2 linked regions of the Diceros bicornis minor genome follow. The protein of the gene in region 2 binds, or shares a complex with, the protein of the main gene of each other region. Links are inferred from orthologs where the notes say so. Each region holds a gene or a part of one and is shown on either strand. Other genes may lie near its edges. The genes, in order: NIFK and MKI67.

Evidence for each region.
Region 1: the proteins of MKI67 (region 2) and NIFK are in contact, whole or in part, in an NMR structure (PDB 2AFF), measured with the Homo sapiens proteins. The link is inferred for Diceros bicornis minor from reciprocal best matches to the Homo sapiens genes MKI67 and NIFK. Residues at the interface, in NP_002408.3 of Homo sapiens: Thr9, Ile10, Lys11, Arg12, Ser13, Pro18, His19, Phe20, Pro21, Ser23, Leu24, Arg31, Gly32, Ile33, Glu34, Cys35, Asp36, Ile37, Arg38, Ile39, Gln40, Leu41, Pro42, Val43, Val44, Ser45, Lys46, Thr66, Asn67, Ile91; in NP_115766.3 of Homo sapiens: Val228, Asp229, Ser230, Gln231, Gly232, Pro233, Thr234, Pro235, Val236, Cys237, Phe241, Leu242, Arg245, Gln248, Val249, Leu252, Asp256, Lys257, Asp259, Glu260, Ile261, Val262, Phe263, Lys264, Gln265, Pro266, Ile267.

Annotation. Positions count from the first base shown.
Region 1 is NC_080749.1:11,041,130-11,051,493, reverse strand, and holds the start of NIFK (MKI67 FHA domain-interacting nucleolar phosphoprotein), read right to left. Parts: upstream 4,432-10,364; 5' UTR 4,388-4,431; coding exon 4,283-4,387; intron 3,384-4,282; coding exon 3,246-3,383; intron 1-3,245.
Region 2 is NC_080745.1:90,449,049-90,459,095, forward strand, and holds the start of MKI67 (proliferation marker protein Ki-67), read right to left. Parts: upstream 4,522-10,047; 5' UTR 4,376-4,521; intron 3,994-4,375; exon of another isoform or gene 3,978-3,993; 5' UTR 3,891-3,977; coding exon 3,799-3,890; intron 1,378-3,798; coding exon 1,299-1,377; intron 1,206-1,298; coding exon 1,090-1,205; intron 1-1,089. UniProt on the Homo sapiens protein: Protein that associates with the surface of mitotic chromosomes and acts both as a chromosome repellent during early mitosis and chromosome attractant during late mitosis.

The sequences.
Region 1 (10,364 bases), on a different chromosome or scaffold from region 2:
AATGTTTGAAAATCCTTTTACAATCCCAACTCTTGACAGAGAGGGGAAAGATGGTGGAGAGGAAGAGAGAGACACTGTGAAATCCAACTTAACTCACCACACTGTAAACGGATAAAAACCTTTTGAAAAGTAATTTAAAACCACATACCATGAGCACAAAAACTATAACAAAAACTCAAAAAAACCTTCATCTAGTAATTTCAGAAAGATGCTGGAAACACCAAATAGTCAAAATTGGGGTGAACAGAAAGGTAGCAGCTTTCCTATGTAACACTGGTGCAAATGGTAAAATTTTAGTGCATCTCCTCAAGGAACAGGCTTTCTACAAGACAACTGGACCAAACTCTCCAAAAAAGCCAATGTCAAGGAAAACAAAACAAGCAGACAAGGAAACTGTTCCCAGATAAGCTGAAGAGCTCTAACAACCAAATAAATGCACAAACTTCGACCAGATTCCAGAATAGGGAGGGAAAAAAATAGCTAAAGACTTTTCTGGAACTATTAGGGATATGTAAAGGTGGACAGTACACTGTATAGATTATTACATTGTGGTTATGAAGAGAATGTCCTTATTCTGGGTAGATTTATGATGAAGCATTTAGAAAGTATTATGACTGCAACTTTCTTCAAAAGGCTCAAAAAGTGTGTATGTTTTTATAGATATGGAGAAAGATGAAGCTACTTGTCAGGATGTCGATAATGCGTGAATCCAGGCGAGGGGTAGGGATGTTCATTATACTATTCTTTCTATCTCTCTGTAGACTTCAACATTGAACATTTTCAAAATACAAAGCTGAGGCGGGGGAACAATGACTACACTGCAATATGGGAAAACATTTATAAAATAACGTCCCACAAAAGGCAGGAAAAGAGTTTTTGAAAAAGACAATAATAAGAAACGGCAAAAGACATGAATAGGCAATTCACAGAAGAGAGAACTCCAACGGCCAATAAACACCTAATGATACTAACCTCACTAATAAGGCAGATAAAAAAACCATGACCATTTTATACTCAGTGATTCTGAGGATAAGCTGTAGAGCAGTATCTTTCAAACTGAGAGTCTGACCTTTTAGAGGAAAACAAAATCAATTTAGTAGGTCAGAAAGGTATTTCTAAAAAACCGAATAGAAAGGTTAAGTATTATCTCGTATGACTTTTATTTCACTTATGTTTACATACACGTATATGTGTGCTGGCTTGTGGTGTACCTTACTTCTTCTTGTGGGTCAAAAGTCTGAAAAATATTATTCTAGAGAAACTTGCCTACACCTGCACAAAGAATGTTCTTAGTGGCTTCACGTATAACAGTGAAAAACTGTAAAAAAAAAAAACACAAAACCCTCATGTTCAATAGAAGACAGATAAATGAACTTTAGTATGTTCAAGCAAAGGACACAGCAATGACAATGAATGTGCTAGAGCTGTATCAATAAAGCTCAGAGCAGACAGTTGAATGAAAAAATTAAGTTTCAGAATAAAATATATAACTAATATAGATTTAAAACAATAATGTACAATGTATATTGATACATGAGTATGTAGTAAAAATTGAAAAACACACACAGCAATGAAAAACACTGAATTCATGAATACTAATTCCCTGGGCATGGGGAGAAGGTGCAGAGGACTGGGGAAGGGTACAAAGGGACCTCAAGTTCACCTATAATCCATTTCTTAAAGAACAAAGATCTGGAGCAAGTTTGAGATGAAGCTGACATCTGATAAAGGTGAACGGCAGATACCTGAACAGTCACTAAATCACTCTCTAGCAGACTTCAGGAGGTTTGAAATATCTCACCCACCTAATAAGAAACCACTACAAATAAGCAAATGGAATAAAAGGGAAGGAATACAAAGAAAATATGTTATTTTCGTTAGGATGGAAGAAATACTAGGGCACTTTAAATTTAAAATTCCCTTTAATGCTGACGTGTTGCTTTGACAACATTTAATACCTGTGGTTTTATAACAACTAGCAGATGATGGACACATACCCTATCCCCTCACATGCCAAATCAAATATAAAATTTAACTTTGATTTGTTATAACTCAGGCAGGAAAATGCGGAAAAACTGTATCAAAAAACCCCCAGAGAGGGGCCGGCCCCGTGGCGTAGAGGTTAAATGCGCGCTCTGCTGCTGGCGGCCCAGGTTTGGATGCCGGGTGTGCACCTCCGCACCGCTTGTCAGGCCATGCTGTGGTGGCGTCCCACATAAAGTGGAGGAAAATAGGCACGGATGTTAGCTTAGGGCTGATCTTCCTCACAAAAACAAAAAAACAAAAAACCCCCAGAGATTCCAACAATGAGAGGTCTATGGTTACAACCAATTAAAGTTTATGTGTGCAGGAAGAAAATAAAGTGGGCCACTCCTCCTTTACTGATACAAACCACATAAACCATTTTTTATCAGGAGATAGAGATAATATAACAATAACATTTATACAGTGTTTACTGTGTGTTATCAGGCATTGCTCTAAGAACCTTACATTCATTACCCCGTGTTTAATCTTTCACTAGATACTCCTAGGAGGTTGGTGCTCTTTTACTCATATTTTACAAATCAGAAAACCGATGCATGCAGAGGTTACATAATTTGTCCAAGGTCGTACAACTAGTAACCTGTAGAGTCAGGCCTCAAACCTAGGTAGTCTGGCTCCAGTGTCCTCATCCTTAACTATTCACTATACAAACTTTTGCTATTACGGGGTGCCTACACCAAAGGGTAATACAAGATGATGTATGAACCGCTCCTCAAACTGAAGTTCATGTACACCTGGCTCAGTAGCCATAAAATAAATATGATTTATTTACTAGGATTGTCAATTTAATTTGAGGATTTGGGGCAATCACTTTTTTTTCTCGAGGAAGATTGGCCCTGAGCTCACATCTGTGCCAATCTTCCTCTATGTTGTATGTGGGTCGCGGCCACTGCATGGCTGACAAATGGTGTAGGTCCGTGCCTGCGATCCAAACCCGAAAACCCAAGCCACTGAAGCAGAGCATGCTGAACTTAACCACTAGGCCATGGGGCCAGCCCCCACGTTTTTTTTTAAATAAAGTAAACATTTACAATAATACTGATTTTGCTTTTGTGGTTGTTTCAGGTTCTAAACCTCATCCACCTCCCTTTTCTGGAGCAAAGTCTGATAAACAATAATATGTGGACATGCTCTCAACTATCAAGGATGACATCCTTTTAAAGAAACAAACAGACAATCTAAATTCAACACAAAAATCTTACCCTTTTACTTCTGGACAGTCTAAGTCTTGTAACAGTGCCAAACTGCGAGAAATATGCTCGGATCTGGGTTTCGTAAAGCGCTGGAGGTAGGTGGCCCACATAGATTACTCCAGGAGTGAGTTTTTTTTTCTCCTGTCGCTGAAAACATAAAAAACAGATAATTACTTTTTCAATTAAAAAAAATCACATTGCAACAAAACTTGCAAACCTCCCTAACTCTCAAGAGGAGACCAAGAGCCTAGCCACTATTTCCACTTAGCAGAACAGTAACTAAAGAGTTAGCTGTTTAATGTCCATCTCCCCACGAGGACAATCATCACAGCGGATTGTCTTCTCAGCCTGTGTCCCAGCACGCCGCACAATGTTCATGCTCGATAACTATACGTTGAATCAACAAGTCTTTGAACACACTATTTTAAATCTTCAGGCCGGAGAACTCCACATAAAAGTACCCTTCACCTCTGTATGCGGATCGCTGTTGACTCGCACCCACCTAACCAAACAATTTCGAAACTTCCGTAACCCTTCACAACGCCAACGAACTTTTCAGCGTCTGTCATCATGTCCTTGCCTTCTATTACAACTTTTAAGTTTTCAAACGTGTATTTCCTGCTAAAAATCAAGACAACTATAACTTGACGTCAGGGGCCCTAATCAGCAAACGGAACTTGGCAAATACTGTCTCCAAACTACCAACCAGACATATGAACTCTCTGAATTCGGGGGCCAGGCGGACGCGTGGGAGCTCTAATCCGTGGACCGAGAGGGCCCGTCCCAGCTGGCTCCTGCTCCTCTCGTCCCCCCACACCTCACCCTTAGTCCACGGGAGGACTCTAAGACCTCCGCGGCCACAGCCCACCCCCATTTCCCAGTCAGCGCACACTCCGTCTCGGGGGCTCGGCCTACAAACTCGCGAGGTCGGCGCTCACCCGAGGCCATCCCGGGGGCAGCAGGGCGCGGCACCGGGCCCGCGCGTCCCCGCGGCCCAGACCCGGCCCGCCGCCTCCCCTCGCAGCCCGGCCGTGGCGGCCGCTCACCTGGGTGGCGCGCCGGCGAACCTGCGCCACCTCCTTCTGAAACTTGGCGTCCTCCTGTGGGTTCAGGGACAGGAGAGTCTTGGCGGGGCCCGCAAAGACCGCCATGCTGCAAGTCCCCAAGACGACCAGCTCCACGCGGCGCGTCCGGAAATGCCGAGCCCTGAGTTCCTCCGAAGCGGAAGTGAGGCGGGACGTGCGCGGCGACGCGCGGGGCGCGGGGGCGGGGCTGGGCGAGTTCGGGCGCCCCCTGCGGGCCGGGTGCCCTTTGGCCTCGCTCTCGCGCTGACCGCCTGCCTAAAATGGCAGACGGTAGTTTGTTCACGCTTGCTTTGCGGCCAGCCAATTTCAAAGGGGGTTTAAAAATAAATCCCAAACAATATCCGTGCTTTTGAGGTCTTGCTAACCATTCTTTAATTCTTTTTTATTTCCTTTTTTCACTCGCTCGTTTCTGAGCCTACTGTGTGTCCTGCTGCTGCTGCCCTTAGGTAACATACAGATTGGGTGGGTGGGGGGGGATGGGGAGTGGGTGGATAAAGGACGTTTGAGGGTGGGATTGGTGTAATGGGAGACATAAGAGCCCCGTGGAGGGGGGAAGCACACTGGTGACCAATGAGGGCCTCCTGGAGGAGGTGGCATTTGAACTGAGACCTGAAGGCTGGAAGGAGCAGCCTGTGCAGACCTGGAAGCCCACCGTGCAGGCAAGAGGGACAGCGTGTACAGTGTCCTTACGGCTGGAAAGAAGGAGTCGGCCACTGTGGTTGGAGCTCAGCGTGTGAGGGAGAGGGGCAAGGGGGCAGGCTGGAGCTCCAGGGCTCTGTGTCAAGGTTTAAAGCTTGGGTTTTATTGTAAATGCAGGGGGTGTGAGGGTTTTAAGCAAGGCTGTGGCTGTACCTTTCAACTACTACTCTAGTAAGGGTGGAAGGTGGATAGCAGAGGAAGCGGGGGTGGCGTGGGGTGGGGTGGGGACGAGGCTAGAGCAATAGTCAAAGCAGAGCTGCTCTGGGGGATGGTGGTGGCAGGTGTTCTGGAACCAATGAGGGCTGAGTTTGGCTGGTGCCCAGGGGTACCTGTGGGAAGAGTGGATGGTAACTGTAGGGTAGAGTGGCGTGGGAGCGATTGTACAGTGAGGGCCAGCGTGCTTCCTCTGGGAGCCACTTGCCTGCCTTTGCGTCCCTCACCCCAGTCACACCCCAGCTCAGCTCAACTGTCACCTGTCAGGGAAGCCCTCTGCGACCCTGTTGCCGAGGTCACCTCCTCCTATTAAATACTCTCTTACAATGGCGTTTTCATGAACAAGCTGGATTTTCAGGAGAGTGCAAGCAGAGAGCAATTTTATTCTTTCTCAGGACTGCTTCTTTTCATGGACTTGTTCCTTCTCCCCCCTGGACGAAATCTTGGGGAGAGCTCCTCAGATATCAGTGTATAGAAATGTTTTCAGGGTGTTCAAAATCTGACAGCAAGTGTCTCCTCTCCCCACACTCGGACCTGTCTCAGGTGAGAAATCTCTCAAGGAGTCACAGTTGACATTGTCTCTCTGGCTTCACCTTGTCCCCTGCACCCCAGTTTCTTTTTTGGCTTCTCCATGATTGAGATGGGGAGAGCGCAAGGAAGCGGCAGGAAGGGGCTCCTTGACTGGCAGGTGCCATGTGGTTGGGGAGCTTCAGGTGGGGCGCATCCTTGGTTGCTGACTCACTCTTTCCAGGCATACTTTTGAGGTGTTCCCTCGCCTGGCTGCTCATGGCTTAGCCTGCCTGCCTGTGGTACCACCTGCCTGCTTAGGTCAGCTGTGTGTCCAGGTGCTCCTATTGGAAGGGCCTTTCTAAGCTGACCCCATCCTGATCCTTTAGTAAGGGCCACATCTTTTGTCCTCTCTGTTGTAGGAGATGCTTTTTCCTCTTTGCATTGCTGTAGGGTGGGCCTCCTGGCTGGTCAAAGTTAGATGTTTGATTTATGAGTCACTTATGGGTGCCTGTATCCCCCAAATTCCAGAGGACACAGAACAAGCTGTTGGTTCCCTAAAGGCCCCTCCCTTGAGTGTGTGTGTGTGAACACTCCCCTCTTTCCCAAGGATGAAACTTGACATATCTCATAGCTTCTAAGGGGAAGAGAGAGGTAGGGAGGAGCAGAGAAGGGAAGACAGCAAAGTGACAGTTCTCTTCTGGGAGATCCTCTTTCCAGTTTTTGCAACCACCTCCATGAATTCCTGGCCTCCCGTTACATCCCCCAGGTGGGTGGTGACCCAAGGTTTCTCAAAACTGAATGAGAGGCCAGCCGCAGTGGCCTAGAGGTTAAGTTTTGTGTGCTGTGCTTCGGCAGCCCAGGTTTGGTTCCCAGGCGCAGACCTACACCACTCGTCTGTCAAGGGCCTTGCTGTGGTGTTGGCTCACATACAAAAAGAGGAAGATTGGCAACAGATGTTAGCTCAGGGTGAATCTTCCTCAGCAAAACAAAAGAAAACAAAACAATGAGCATGTAGATTTCCTGGGGGTCTTGTTACATGGCCAGTTCTGATTCCTAGCTCTGGGGTGGGGCCCCAGGTTCTGTGTTTCTAACAAGCTCCCCGGTGAGGCTGATGCTCCGTGGACCAAACTTGGAGTAGTAGTAGGAGGGATTCGGGCAATTGATCACTGTGCTGGGTTGAATTGTGTTCCCCCAAAAGAGATGTTCAAGTCTTAATCCCGGTATATGTGATGGAAATAGGGTCTTTGCAGATGTAATCAAGTTAAGGCGAGGTCATGCTGGAGTAGGGTGGGCCCTAATCCAATAACTAGTGTCCTTATAAAAACAAGGAAATTTGGATACACACACACACACACAGACACACACACACGGAGAACACCACAGTGATGATGAAGGCAGAGATGGGAGAGAGGCAGTTGCAAGCTAAGAAACGCCAAGGATTGCTGACAACCATTGGAAGCTGGGAAGAGGTAGAGAAGGATTCTTCCCTAGAGCCTTTGGAGAGAAAATCGTCCTGCCAACATCTTGGGTTTGGATTTCTAGTCTCCAGAACTGTGAGAATAAGTTTCTGTTGTTTTAAGCCCCCCAGTTTTGGTGATTTGTAATGGCAGCCCTAGGAAATGAATACAGCACCATGGTGGGTGCCGCCTGAAGGGGTTTTCTGAGGCAGACACTGGTCCTGGGCCTGTCTTGGCTGTTGGGAGCTACCCATGAAGGCCAGGTGCCAGAGGAGCTCCTGGATGTTCCCAGAAGGATGCCGGGCCACCCTCTCCTTGGCCCTTCACCAGACCATAGAAGTCAGCCCTTAACTGGGGACGGAGTCTCAGGCCCCGAATCCTCACCGCAGCCCAGACCGGACCTGCTTTCATTTCCCCTTTGAGCCTTGGCCAGTCACTCTCAGTTAACAGTGATTTCCACTGACGTTCGCTGTGGCCCTGCTGGGTAACATCTCATTCTGCCACCCAGGGCCCAAGGGTCACTCTGGGACCTAGGTAGGTGATCACAGGAGTTGATGTGGTATCCTGGTCAGAGAGCCCAGAAACCCGTTACCGCCCTGGGATGTGCCTGGGGGAGATGGCCCTCTCTCCAGGAGGGCCTCAGTCTCCTCATCCGTGAAGAAGGGTTTGGCTGGGACGGTTGTTAAGGTCTCCCTGGGGGAGTCTTCACTCCTTAGTGGCAGCAGCAACACTACTAATGCTCAGACTGGCAGCTTGCCTTCTTCATGCCAGGTGACAGGCTGGGGCTGTGTGTGTTTGTCCTTCCTTATCTTTTCTCTTCCTCCTTCTTCCTTCTTCCCTCCCTTCCTTCTCTTCTTCCCTCCCTCCCCCCCCCCTTTCTCTTTTTGCATGGAGGTGGGGAGGCTACTGACACCTTGGGAGGGACTGTTCTTCACTGAGCTGGACTGTCCCATACATACCACCCTGGTACCCTGTCCCCTGGCACTCAATGCCAGTGGCACCCCAGTCATTGTAACAACCAGAATGGCTCCAGGCACTGCCACACACCCCTGAGTGGACTATTAAATGTGCTTACTGCAGGACTTTCCCTTCCTTTTCCCCCACTGACCTCCTATGCCACCCCTCTGCTGGGATGGAATGGTCACGTGTCTTTCCTGTGATGCCACCATCACCGCCTATGGGCTGGAACACCTGCTGGGGGCCCAGCATGGTGAGGGCTGGTGGCTGGGATATGAGGTGGGGCGGGCAGCAGAGCTGGGCAAGCAGCAGGGTGAGGCAGGGTGTGCTGTGTCCAGGGGGCTGGGCCTTAGGAGGGAGGGCTCTGTGGGGTGGGGCTGAGGGCTGGCAGGAGAAGGGACACACGTGGGCCCGGCCCACCTTCCCCCTCCCGTGTTTTCCTCTCTGCCTGGTCCCTGTGTGGTCATCCAACGTGCCACCCTGGATAGTGGGCCCAGCCATCAGAGTCAGCCTGCTCGGCCCTGCCCAGCTGCCCCTTGCTCAGATTTTGGAGATGGGCCTGAAACGGGCAATTCCAGGGGAAGAAGTGGGGAGAAACTCAGTGCAGCCTCAATAAAATGTCACCTGACAAACTAAAATTCAGTCTGCAGACCATTCAGGGCCGTGTGTCCTGAAGCCACGAGAAAGATTTTCTTCCTTTGTCCTTGTGAATGACTGTCACCTTTGCCTACATCCTGCTCTGTGCCAGGTTAACATCATGCACAGCCCCAAGTCCAGACCCCAAGTGTGACCTGAGTGAAGCTGGGTGGAGCCCTGGGGAGGGGGGCTGGGGAGAGTGGAGAATGAGGGGTGCCCAGAGGTCCCGATTCCCTCTGAAGACCCCTGTGCTGACTCACAAACCACTTCCTCCACCCCTGGATCCTTTCCTGCCCTTCAGTACAGGGTTGGGTCCTGGCATCCTGGGTCCCGTGGGGCCTGCAGTAGCATCGTGGTGCCCTCTTCCTAGCCTGTATTAATCATGTTTTTTATTCTCTGTATTTTTGATGTTTTGACACCTTAAAAAGCTTGCTGGCTGGGGAGAGACTGTCCCTCCCAGGGCTAGCCAATTCTGAGAGACATCAAAGGGATCACCCTGGAGCACCCCTTTCATATGCCCCCTCCTTATCTGACTCGCACACCAGCCAATATTCCCAGCCTAGAGCCCACCAGAATTACTCAAACTGGCCAATCCTAAGCTATGACCCTACCCTGCCTTGCCTTTCCCTCAGAAACCCAATAAAGGCTCTGACTTAGGCTGTCCTTCACTCCTGCTTCTGCCTCCTGACCAGACCTGGTGCTTCCCCCCTGTGGCCCTGCATGGCATGGCATGCCCTGTCCTCTTGAGAAATGTAAGTAATAAGTTCTTCTTTCAATGGCACTGGCCTCTCTGGTTGTCACTCAGTCACCTCTATAAATTAAAACCCCATGGGTACAAATGAGGCACAGCCCGAGGCCTATCTCCCTCTTTCCTCTGACTCCCTAACCCCCTTCTCCTGTTCTCAGACTGCAGGATACAACTCCCAAGCAGTATTCTGTTTCCACCCGCTCTTGCCCTCCAAGGAACCTTGCAGAAGTGCACCACTCATTACATAGTCTTCCATGCTATTAAATGAGGTATAATTTCACCCTTAAATTAGCCCAGAATGTCTGCAGTGTTAACATTCACATTGGGGAGAGTGCAGTCAAGTTGGCTCCTTCAGGCCCTGGTGGGCAGGAGAGTAGAAATTAGTTCAACCTGTCTGCATAGTGATTTGGCAAAATATGTCAAGAACTTTAAAAATAGGACCTATCAAAAGAAATGATCTTACATCCTGATAAGGGCTTACAAAGAATTTCATCACAATGTTATTTATAATAGAAAGAATTGGAACCAACCAAAATAGCCTATGATAAGGGACTAACTGGGTTAATAAACATGGCATGTCCTTTTGACAAATAAAATCACATTAACAATGTCTGCATTTCAAAAATTATTTTAAAAATTGTAAAAAAGTGAGAAAATGTTAATTTTTAAGTGACAAAGTTTATTAGAAATGGATAAGAGAAAGATGAAAACTTTAATAGAAAGATGTATAAAAAACATAGAGAATTCCCAAAAGGAATTTCAATATACATAAGAAAAATCTTTCAAATATAAATTGAAAAGTTAAATGAGGTTCCCTTACTCC
Region 2 (10,047 bases):
TATATAATTGTGTATATTATTTCCAAGAAATATTTATGCAGTGAGAGGGAACAAACTGTGACTTCCATGCTGTGAATCTCACACCCCTAAGAGTAGGAGCCAGTTACAGATACGTACTTCATTATTCCAAATTTATGGAGTTTTATGCAGACAGACAAAGCCATAGTGGTTAGAGACGCATGCAAAGACCTTTATGCGCTCAGAAAAGCCACACCAGTGGTTTACGTGGTGAGAGAAAGAAGTAGTCATTAGAAGACTCATGAAAGAAGCTTCTGGACATGTTCTGTTTATGGTTTGGGTGGTGTATTAGTTTGCTAGGGCTGCCATAACAAAACACCACACACTGGGGGCTTAAACAACAGAAATTCATTTTCTCACAGTCCTGGAGGCTGGAAGTCCAAGATCAAGGTGACGGGAGGTTGGTTTCCTCTGGGCCTGTCTCCTTGGCTTGCTATGGCTGCCTTCTTCCCGCCTCTTCATACGGTCATCCCTCTGAGCACCTGCTCTCCTGGCTTCTCTCTCTGTATCCTAATCTCCTCTTCTTATAAGGACATCAGTCATATCAGATTAGGGCCCAGCCTAACGCGCTCATTTTAACTTAGTCACCTCTTTAAAGGCCCTGTCTCCAAATACAGTCACATTGTGGGGTACTGGGGGTTAGGAACTCAACATAAGAACTTTGGGAGAGCACAATTCAGTCCATAACAGGTGATCACAAGGGTGTTCAACTCATGATAAATTAGCTATACATCTCATTTTGCATTTTTCTCCATGAGCATAATTTATTTCGAAATAAAAAAGAAACTAAAAAACATATGCAGTTTCACAACAAAATAAAACTCCTTAAGGATCTGGTCACTCCTCTTTTGCACAAGTACGTGCACTCAAATCCTTGAATTGAATCACATAAGCCCCATTTGTCTTTCCTTCTAGATCCATTTGATTTTAGATTAAGAATTACTGTTGATAATGACAACCTCAAACACTGACATTCACCGGGGTTAAAGAAGGAGCACAGATGATGTGTGAGGCTAGTTTTTGGTGACTCAAAAGATCCATTTATTTTCAGCCCAATTAGTTTTTACCTACCTGAAAGATCGATCAACAATGGTTATCACATCGCCATGTTTTAGTCGTATGGGTTCATCAATAGCAGATCCATTTACTTGTGTAGGACTTGTGGAACTGAAATTAAACAATATTGCCTACAAGTAGGAAAAAGGAGGAAAACGTAACTAATATGTAGGTAAAAACTGAAATGAAAAGTTTTAAAAAATAGACTTCTAAATCCCACTTACTGCTTGCTCATTGATTTCAATTTTGCAGTGCTGTTTTGACACTACAGGAAGCTGAATACGGATGTCACATTCGATGCCCCTTTATTGAAAAGAATTAAGATTTTTTAGGTTGGCAATTTTTAAAAACATTAAATCAATGTTTCAAAATAAAACAGCATTTGACTATGTGTTTGATCTGTAAATGTAATGACATAAAGGAGGAACAAATTCATCAATGTAAACAATCTTTGCATCTTACAAACGATTTTTACAAGTATTATATAAGCAATTATTTTAAATCTTAAAACATAGAGGGCTTAAAAATAATTATAATAGAAAATATTAGAATACAAAATTGAATTGCCTTTTAACTAAAATATCTATGGCTATAAGACCCAAATAAAGGAGTAATTTATATCAGCTTGGAGAATAATTATTTTTAATATTCTGTTTTTATTCTGCAAAAAACGGTTTATGTATGTCTATTTGTAATGTTCCGTATGTTTAAAGGTTTAATCATCACCAGAAGTGCAGTATTTCACGCTGGCACCTCTCTGTGCCTCAGTTTCCTCATATACAAAAAGAGAATCACATTAGCAGCCATGTCATAGTGTTGTTCAAAAAATGAGTTACACGTCTGTCACTCGCCTGGCACACAGTCAAAGCTCATTACTTTTGAGCTTTTTATTGTTGTTTTAAAACTACACCATATTAACAGACAGATTCACAAGTCTCCTATCATTAAAAATACTAATCCGCGTGCAACAAAAAAGCATTATTAGATCAACTTGTCTTTCCACAAAGAACATCAGCAGGATGAACCAGACGGGAGATTTCCCAGACCCACGTGGAAACTAACCAGAGGTCCTTAGTGAGGTTCCTTGGGTCTCTGGTGTCCCTGTTACCGTAAGTTTGAACAAGTGTATACTCGCCTCTCTGTTCTCAACATGCACCTACGGAGTCTAAGAATACCATTTCCTACCCATGTCATATGACCAAACACTTATGAACAGGTTTCTAAATTACAAAATCTTGCATAAACATACATTTAATCACTGCTGTATAATAACCAGAATTACTGCCATTTGATACCAAAATGTTTATTTTTACCTTTGAAGAGAAAAGAAGCTAGGGAAAGTGAACAGCTATTTTAAACCAAAGAAGAGAATTTGATTTTTAGGTGTCAGAACATTCCAGCAAGAGAGAAAGAGAGACTGTCTCAGAACTTAGCATTTGTTTGGCAGGAAACCGCCAACTAGAATCACTCTAGATCAGTGGTTCTTAACCTCAGCACTGGTGATATTTTAGGCCAGATAGTTCTTTAAAGTGGGGGCTGTCCCGTACCTTGTAGGACGTTTGGCTGCATCCCTGACCTCGGCTCACTGATGCCAGTGGCATGAGCCTCGTCTCTGCCACACTGTGACATAGAAACATGTCTCCAGATTTTGCCAAAAGTCTCCTGGGGGGCAAAGTGGCCCTATGCTGAGAACCACTGCTGCATATGCTTCCAAATCCAGCCCATGTTTCTAGTGAACACTTACCAGAGTGCTAAATATCAATCCTCTCTCATTTGCCAGACCCCATACCAGGCACCAAGCACATAACTACTAACTAGATATCCCTGTCCCTGGAAAGCTTAGCAGTGGGACAGACAAACCAAAGACTCATCACCATGTGTGGTGTTGGGAAAGACAAGAGCAGTGTTCTTTAAAGGCTTCTTTTCAGGTAACATTTAAAACAATATCTGAAAGTTGGAAAGGAATCACTCACACAGGAGGGTAGAGGGAACATCCCAGTTATATAGTTCAAAATGGCTAAAAGCACAAGGGGAGCCAGAGCTTGGAATTTCTGAGGTGGGGTGGAACATGGTAGGGAGGGAGCTGGTAGGACAGGGTGTGTAGAAGGGGGTGCGGGTCCTAACACACAGGACTCCACAGGGAGGGTGACCTATCATTTGTTAGAATTCGAGTGAAAGAGAATGAAAGAGAGTGCGATTAATAATGTTTCCTGCTATTCAGGGACCACAGCTATCGAGACCAACACCAGAAGGTAACAAAAGAGGAGTTCTCCAAACACTAGCAGGAGGGCTTTCCTCCCATTTTCATTTTTCCGAAAATACCACAAACCGTAAACAGAGCCTCCTTCCTTCCTTTGCTCAACAGTGTCCCCCAGTAGCCAAGGAATGCCAAGTTTGGAGGGATTTCAGATGAACACAATGGTCTTCTAAAGACTGCCTGAAGAGAATCAGGATTTGAGAATCATCTACATTTTTCTCCGTTTAAAGATCTTTATCAAATCAATATTAAAATTTTTGTTTGATTAGAAAAACACAACTGTATAAATATTATTCCCCAAATTCTATTGTGTAATCAACAATTCAGTCCAGTTGACAACACATAGTAAGTCCTGAGTAAACCTGAGGGCAGGAACTACTCCTAGAGCCATGTTTCCAGCCTGTTAATCTGTGATGAAGATATTCAAGTCTTTTTAGCCGAATTGTCCACGCGTGCACAGGGCTCACCTTCCAAACAAGCATGTGCTGAGGCTCAACGGGAAGTGGGGGCCGTCGACCCCGCTCCTTTTGATGGTAACAAGGCGTCCTGTAGGACCCATTTTCTAAACAAGATTTGGAGTATAATCCGTATGGGAATGTCAGGCATCAAAAGGTTCGCTGAAGCAAATTTACAAGCCGCTCTTGCACTGCAGGAACATGCCACTGAGTAAAACAATAATAAAACACGCGGGGGGGGGGGAGATTACCCTGAAAGCAAAGAGCTAAGAAGTCACTTGTAAGTGACCGATTGGAGTCGCTTGTACGATTCCCCATGCCTCTGCCGCCCTGGCCCACACCTCACCTGACCCCTGTGGGAGCCCCAGCCAGGTCCCTGGCCGCCCACCGGAACCCAGCGCCCCCCCAAGACCCGCGGCCAGGAGGCCGCCCACCAGGGCCACATCTCCCAGGAGTTCCCATCGAGACAGGGACCAGGCCGCGCTCCCGGCGCCGGTGCCCGCAGTGCCCGGAGGAGTCCCCGCTGCCCCGGCCCGAAAGGCCGCCCCTCGCTCCCCCCACCCCCAGAGGCGCCCCGGCCGCAGCTCACCTAGGACGAGTCACCGACACTGTCACCAGTGAGTCCACTGCTTGTCAAGGCGCAACCCAAGTCCGCACCGGGAGGAGCCGGACGCGTCCACCTGCGTCCACCACCCGCCCCGCGCTGCAAGGGCCGGGACACCGTCCGCGGGCCCGCACCCACCTCCGCCGCGGCCGCAGTCGGCGCTCCCCCCGCGGTCACCCTCGCCGGTGACCGGGTGGCCCTGCCCAGCTACGTGTCAGAGACGCCCGGCGTCAGCGGCTCGGGCGCGGAAAGCTGCCCGCCTCGCCCTCCCGATTCAAATGAAAACAGCGATTCAAATTTGGCGCTAGGCGCTGCGATTGGACGCGGCGGCGCGGCGGCAGACCAATGGGAAGGAGCGAGAGTGGGGCGGGGGCGGGGCAAGAGGGAACGGAGCGGCAGGCTCCGCGGGGAGGGGCGGGCGGGCTGCGCACCCCAGACGTCTTCTCGGGGTTCTCTCCAGGGACAACACGCAAAAAGGGCGGAAAGGGAACCTGGTCCAGGCGCCGCGAAACCTCTCTCGTCCCCTTTTCTTTAAGGACCTAATACAATAGTACACAATACGTTACTCATTGCTGGAAGGCTTAAAATTTTTTGAAGTTTCTATATCTGCCCAAATATAACCAATCATTATAAGCAATTTCTTGTGTGTTTTCCCAGTTACACATGTATTATTCTCTTTCAAAAATACACTAAAAAGATCATAATATACACATTGTTCTGTACTTTGTGTTTTCTGCTTAATAAACCCTGAAGATATTGAGTACATCTTCCCTTTTTACTTTCTTTTTGATGGCTGCAGAGTATTATGCTTTAGGAAAATATAATTTACTTAATCATTACTATTGCTGTACATATAGGTTTACAATGTTTTCCTATTCGAAAAAAATTCTCCAGTTAAAAAACCGTGTGCATTACCAATTGGATCAATCCTGAAATAACCACAGGATTCCTCTCTGGAGTCACCTGCCCCGCGGGAGGAGGAGCGGGGTGGGGGTGGGGGGTTTCCTGTGGGCCAACGTGGTGTGAAGTTAATAGAGCGAAAACGTGCCTTGGCAATGCCAGCCCTCCAGGTCACCTCCCTCCAGCTCTCCCCACACCCTTTGGAGCTCGGCTGTCTTTGATCAGGAGCAATAGTTCTCACAGCTTGGCCTGGGGACCCCTGAGGATGTCTGAGATCCTTGCAAGGGGTCCATGAAGTCAAAGCATGTTTGTAATAACGCCGGACGTTCTGTGCCCTTTGCACTCTCGTTTTCTCTTGCATGTAGGGTGGAGTTTCCTGAATGCAGAAGCAGATGTGAGAATCCAGCTATCTTTTACTAAATCAGGTATTACAGAGATTTCAAAAAATAGAAAACAATGCTGCTCTTTTCACTATTTTTTTTGTTTTGGATAATATAGATATATTTCATAAAATATGTTTTATGTTAACTTGAAATGGGTTCATCATTGCTTTAAAATGAATTGACAAATGAAGTTTTTGAAATTATTCACTTAATAATCTGCATTAGCAGAAATTCTTAGTGGTTCTCAATGATTTTTAAGAGCCTAAAGGGGCCCTGACACCAAAAAGTTTGAGCCTTTCTGCTCCTGAGTGACAACGTGGAGACAGACTGCCTACGGGAATACGGAAATCTAGAATTTGGCAACGTGAATGTGCAGGATTTCCAGCTCTTAGTTGTCTGTGATGAGGCTGATATAATTTAAATGCATGGATACTATTAACCTTCTTTAGGGGATTAGCTTGCATTTCCTTCCCCTTTACACTAGCCAAGAAAGCTCATCTCTGAACAACCCGGTAAAATGCTGCTTTTGTCATTCTCATTACCGCTTGTTATCGGAGACTGTTCGGTGACCCTGGTCGGGGCAGCCTAATTAGAACTAGGAGGTGCTAGACTTCCTGGCAAATAATCTTACAAACATTGTGCCACACACATATTCAGTTCTCAAGAGAAAACGGGAAACTATAGAGAAAACTTAGGGAATTGTCTAAGTGGTGGATCTTAGATCTGCGGGACAGCCCTCTTTAAACCGTTTGATGATATACTTTAGCAGTGGTGTTTTCTGTTGCATTTGAAGCTTGGTCCACAGCCCAGGGCTTCATTAAAACAGATCTCCCTCCTGTCACCAGAATCCCTGCACCATTTGCAGGGCTGGGGTCTGGACCTGGGGCTCCTCTTCAGCACTGTCAGAGTCTTGAATAGGGTGTGGAATAGGGATCCTATAGTTAGAGCACCAAGGACCCAGGATGGGCAGGAAAAGGCTTTCCACGGAGTGTGTGGACCTAGGGCATTTCCAGAGAATCAATTTCCAGATCCTCACAGTCTCCACGCACTCATGCCTAAAATCAGTCAGCCGAGAGAAAGTGTCTCCGTCGGAATTCCCTGCCCCTGGGCTCCTTCTCCCTGCCCTCGCCGCTGCCAGTTAGCAATCTCACCTGCCTGAAATTTACTACGGGGAAGTGTCCCAGGCACCCTATAAGGGACCACTCAACAATTCCTTTAAACTCCGTGCCCATCTACCTGATTCGTGGCTGTATTTTCAAACAACTGAGTATATATCTAATAAATATTTATCACATTTGAAACGTATATGTTGTTTGGTCATCTGTGTTCCAGGAAGTATTATACTCTGTAATCCCTGACACCGGGTCCAGCCAGTGGTGGAAAGGCAGGGACGTGGAGGGACCTCGCAGGGCGGGGGCGTCCGGGCGTCCCTCCAGGGCCGGTTGTGCCCCCTACTCGTCCGGTCAGTCTAGGACCCCGGCACCCCAGGAAACGCACGGGGCAGGTGCTCTAAGTTCCCGGGATGCCTCCAGTTCCAGCCAGGTGCCCTGGCCCTGGGACCCTCCAACGGTTGCAGGTAGGGGTCTCGGCGCCACTCAGCCGGCCCCTAGCCTCCCAACTTCACTTTCCCTCCCTGTCTTTTAATCACCCCCCTCCTCCTGCCAGCCTTCCAATCAGGAGAGACAAAGTGAGGGTGGGGGATGGGAAAGGCGGCCCAGGGGTGGGGCTGGGGTCCTTTTGAAATGGATCCGGCATGCACTTCCCTCCTGGAGGTCAGCTGCATGGCTGAGACCCTGGAGACCCCTAGATGCCCCGTCGTTGTGAGCTGCAGCCCCGACGCCCAGGCGCTGACCCGGCCCCAGGGCACCTGCCTGGCTTCAACCACCAGCCCCAAAGCTGGACTTGCTTCCCAGGGTCCCAAGCCCTGGTCGCTTCGAGTTCGGGGCTCCCCGAGAGCAGGATCTCAATCGCTTCTCTCCCAGGTCAGAAGCTGGACTGCTTCTCAACCATTCCCTTTCGCCAGACTTCCATAGGGGAGTTGACCAGGTGGTCTGTGGGGTTGCCCCTCCCTGTCCATCCATCCCCTGTCCTGTGCCCCCAGACCTCCCAGTCCCTTCCCCCTCCCCCCACCTCAAATTCTGTTGGCCCTTCCCCATTCCGTAAGTCTTAACTCTGAAGACGGTGTGATAGAACCCTGCTGACCTCTGCGACCTCAACCCAGGCCCCTCTGTAGGGCGATCACCACAGACAGACCTGCTGCAAATTGCTCCCAGATCATGTGACTTCCTGGTTTTTTCCTTCAGAGGTTGCTAATGACTCAGAATAGAACCAAAACTCCTGCCTGGCCCTATGGGACCATATGTGACCTTGGGTCTCCTGCCTCCTTGGCCTCCTTGATCTGAGTTCTCTCCCTGTGCTCCAGCCCCCTGAGCTTCTTCCTTCCTCAAAGGGCCCAGATCCTTCCAGCCTCAGGGCTGTTGACTCTGCCGCTCCCTCCACCTGGAGCCCTTCCCCTGGCAAGGAGAGGAGGTGAGCTTTGCAGACTGGATGAATCAGCCCTAGAACAGGTAGTTTAAGACCCCACCTGGAGAAGAGTGCCCCTGGATGTGCCCTGACCGGTGAAGGCCGCTCCAGCCAAGGGGGGCTTCTACATCACCCAAACACACCACACTCGACTGAACAGCCTGGAGAAAAGGGGCACCAGGACATTGATTCCTACTCTATGAGTTTAGAAAAAGAAATTGGGAATAAATACGGCATTGAAAAACATGAAAGAAATTTTGAAAAGCATTTTTTAATTTGAGAAGCTAATACTATATATTTTCGTCATAGGATATTTGGAAAATATACAAATGTAAAAGGAAGAAAGAGTTACCTCAAGACGTGCAAGAAATACCATCATATTTTTCTCTGTATAATCTTTATTTTACATTAGAAGCATTACACATCTATGTATATACATGCACCATTTTATTTCCTAAGCTTTCATTTAGCATTAAAATGTAAGCATTTTCTCCTTCACTTTTGGTGAATACCAATTTGATAACCCTATTTCCCTGTGTTTGAACATTTAAGTTTTTTCCTAACATTTTATTATTACTAATAATGCTGTGATGAACATTTTGAGCAAAAATTTTGTTTTGATATAATAGGCTATGTTCTTAGTTTATATCTCCCAAAATCTACTTGCTGGATTCAATAATATTTGCTTCATGTCATCTAATTGCTTGCTTTTCAAACGGGTTGTAACAATTTTTCTACCCAGTTCAATGCTTGAGAATGCCTTTTTTACTACCAGCTTTTTGCATTCACATTTTAAATTCTCTTCTAATTTGAATAAATGGAATATTGTTTCATTTTGAATTTTAAAATTACTAGTAAGGTTGAACACTTTTCCTTACCTGTTTAAACTTTCATCTTTTGATAATAGTCTTTTTGTGCCATTTGTCTAATTATCTGTTAATGTCTTAGAGTTTTCTTCATCAATTTATTTGGTAAATATATAAATCCTTGTTCTGCAGAGTTAGTAGAATTTTAAAAGTCAGTCATAAAGCCAAGAACATTTAAAGCCACTTGTGGGATTCCTTGAATAAACGTGTATAAAGAGTAAAGCTCTCCAGCTCTCCCAGAAAATTCTATGTGTGGCTGACATTCATGGTGGGGGCAGGGGGCCCAAAAACAGCTGTCTTCAAAGATGACCGAAAAGCCCACAGAGAAACTCCCAGAGAAGGGTCACTTGAGTGTAAAATGGGAAAATAAAGATAAAATAAGGTTAGAAAGGATATCAGGTGCACCTTGATCCCTGTGCAGGAATGGCTTCACTTCGAGTGGGGGACACTGGCATATCTACAGGCAAGTGACAGCACGGGGCTCTGCCAGCTTATATAAATGCTCGAAAGATGCTGAATGAAATCGTTGCTTCACAGGCAACTGACAGAGAAGGAAACAATGCAATGGAGAACGTTGTTACCTCCAGGCGTAAATGCTGTGTGAGTAGTTAAACTAGATCGGTAATTGATAATCCAATATAAAAATCATTCTTTGCATTGTCAAATGTTTGAGTAACTAACAATCTGACACTTTCCATTCTGTGGTCTTCATACTTCTTGACTCCCAGGGCCCAAGGGTGCCCCTGGAGAGCATCTCATAGACCCTCCTTCCTTAACTTGAGGGGGGTGTCATTATTGAAATTCGTCTGGAAAGGAGATTTCACAAACCGTTTTTTAGTATCTGGTTCTTACAAAATAAAGAGAAAGATCTGTGAGTTTAAGTTGAGATATCTGAATTGCTTGAGAACAGAATTTCAACAATAATGATCAAAACTTTAATAATTAGTTCAGAGAAGTTTTTATCCGATAGTAACTGTTTTTTACT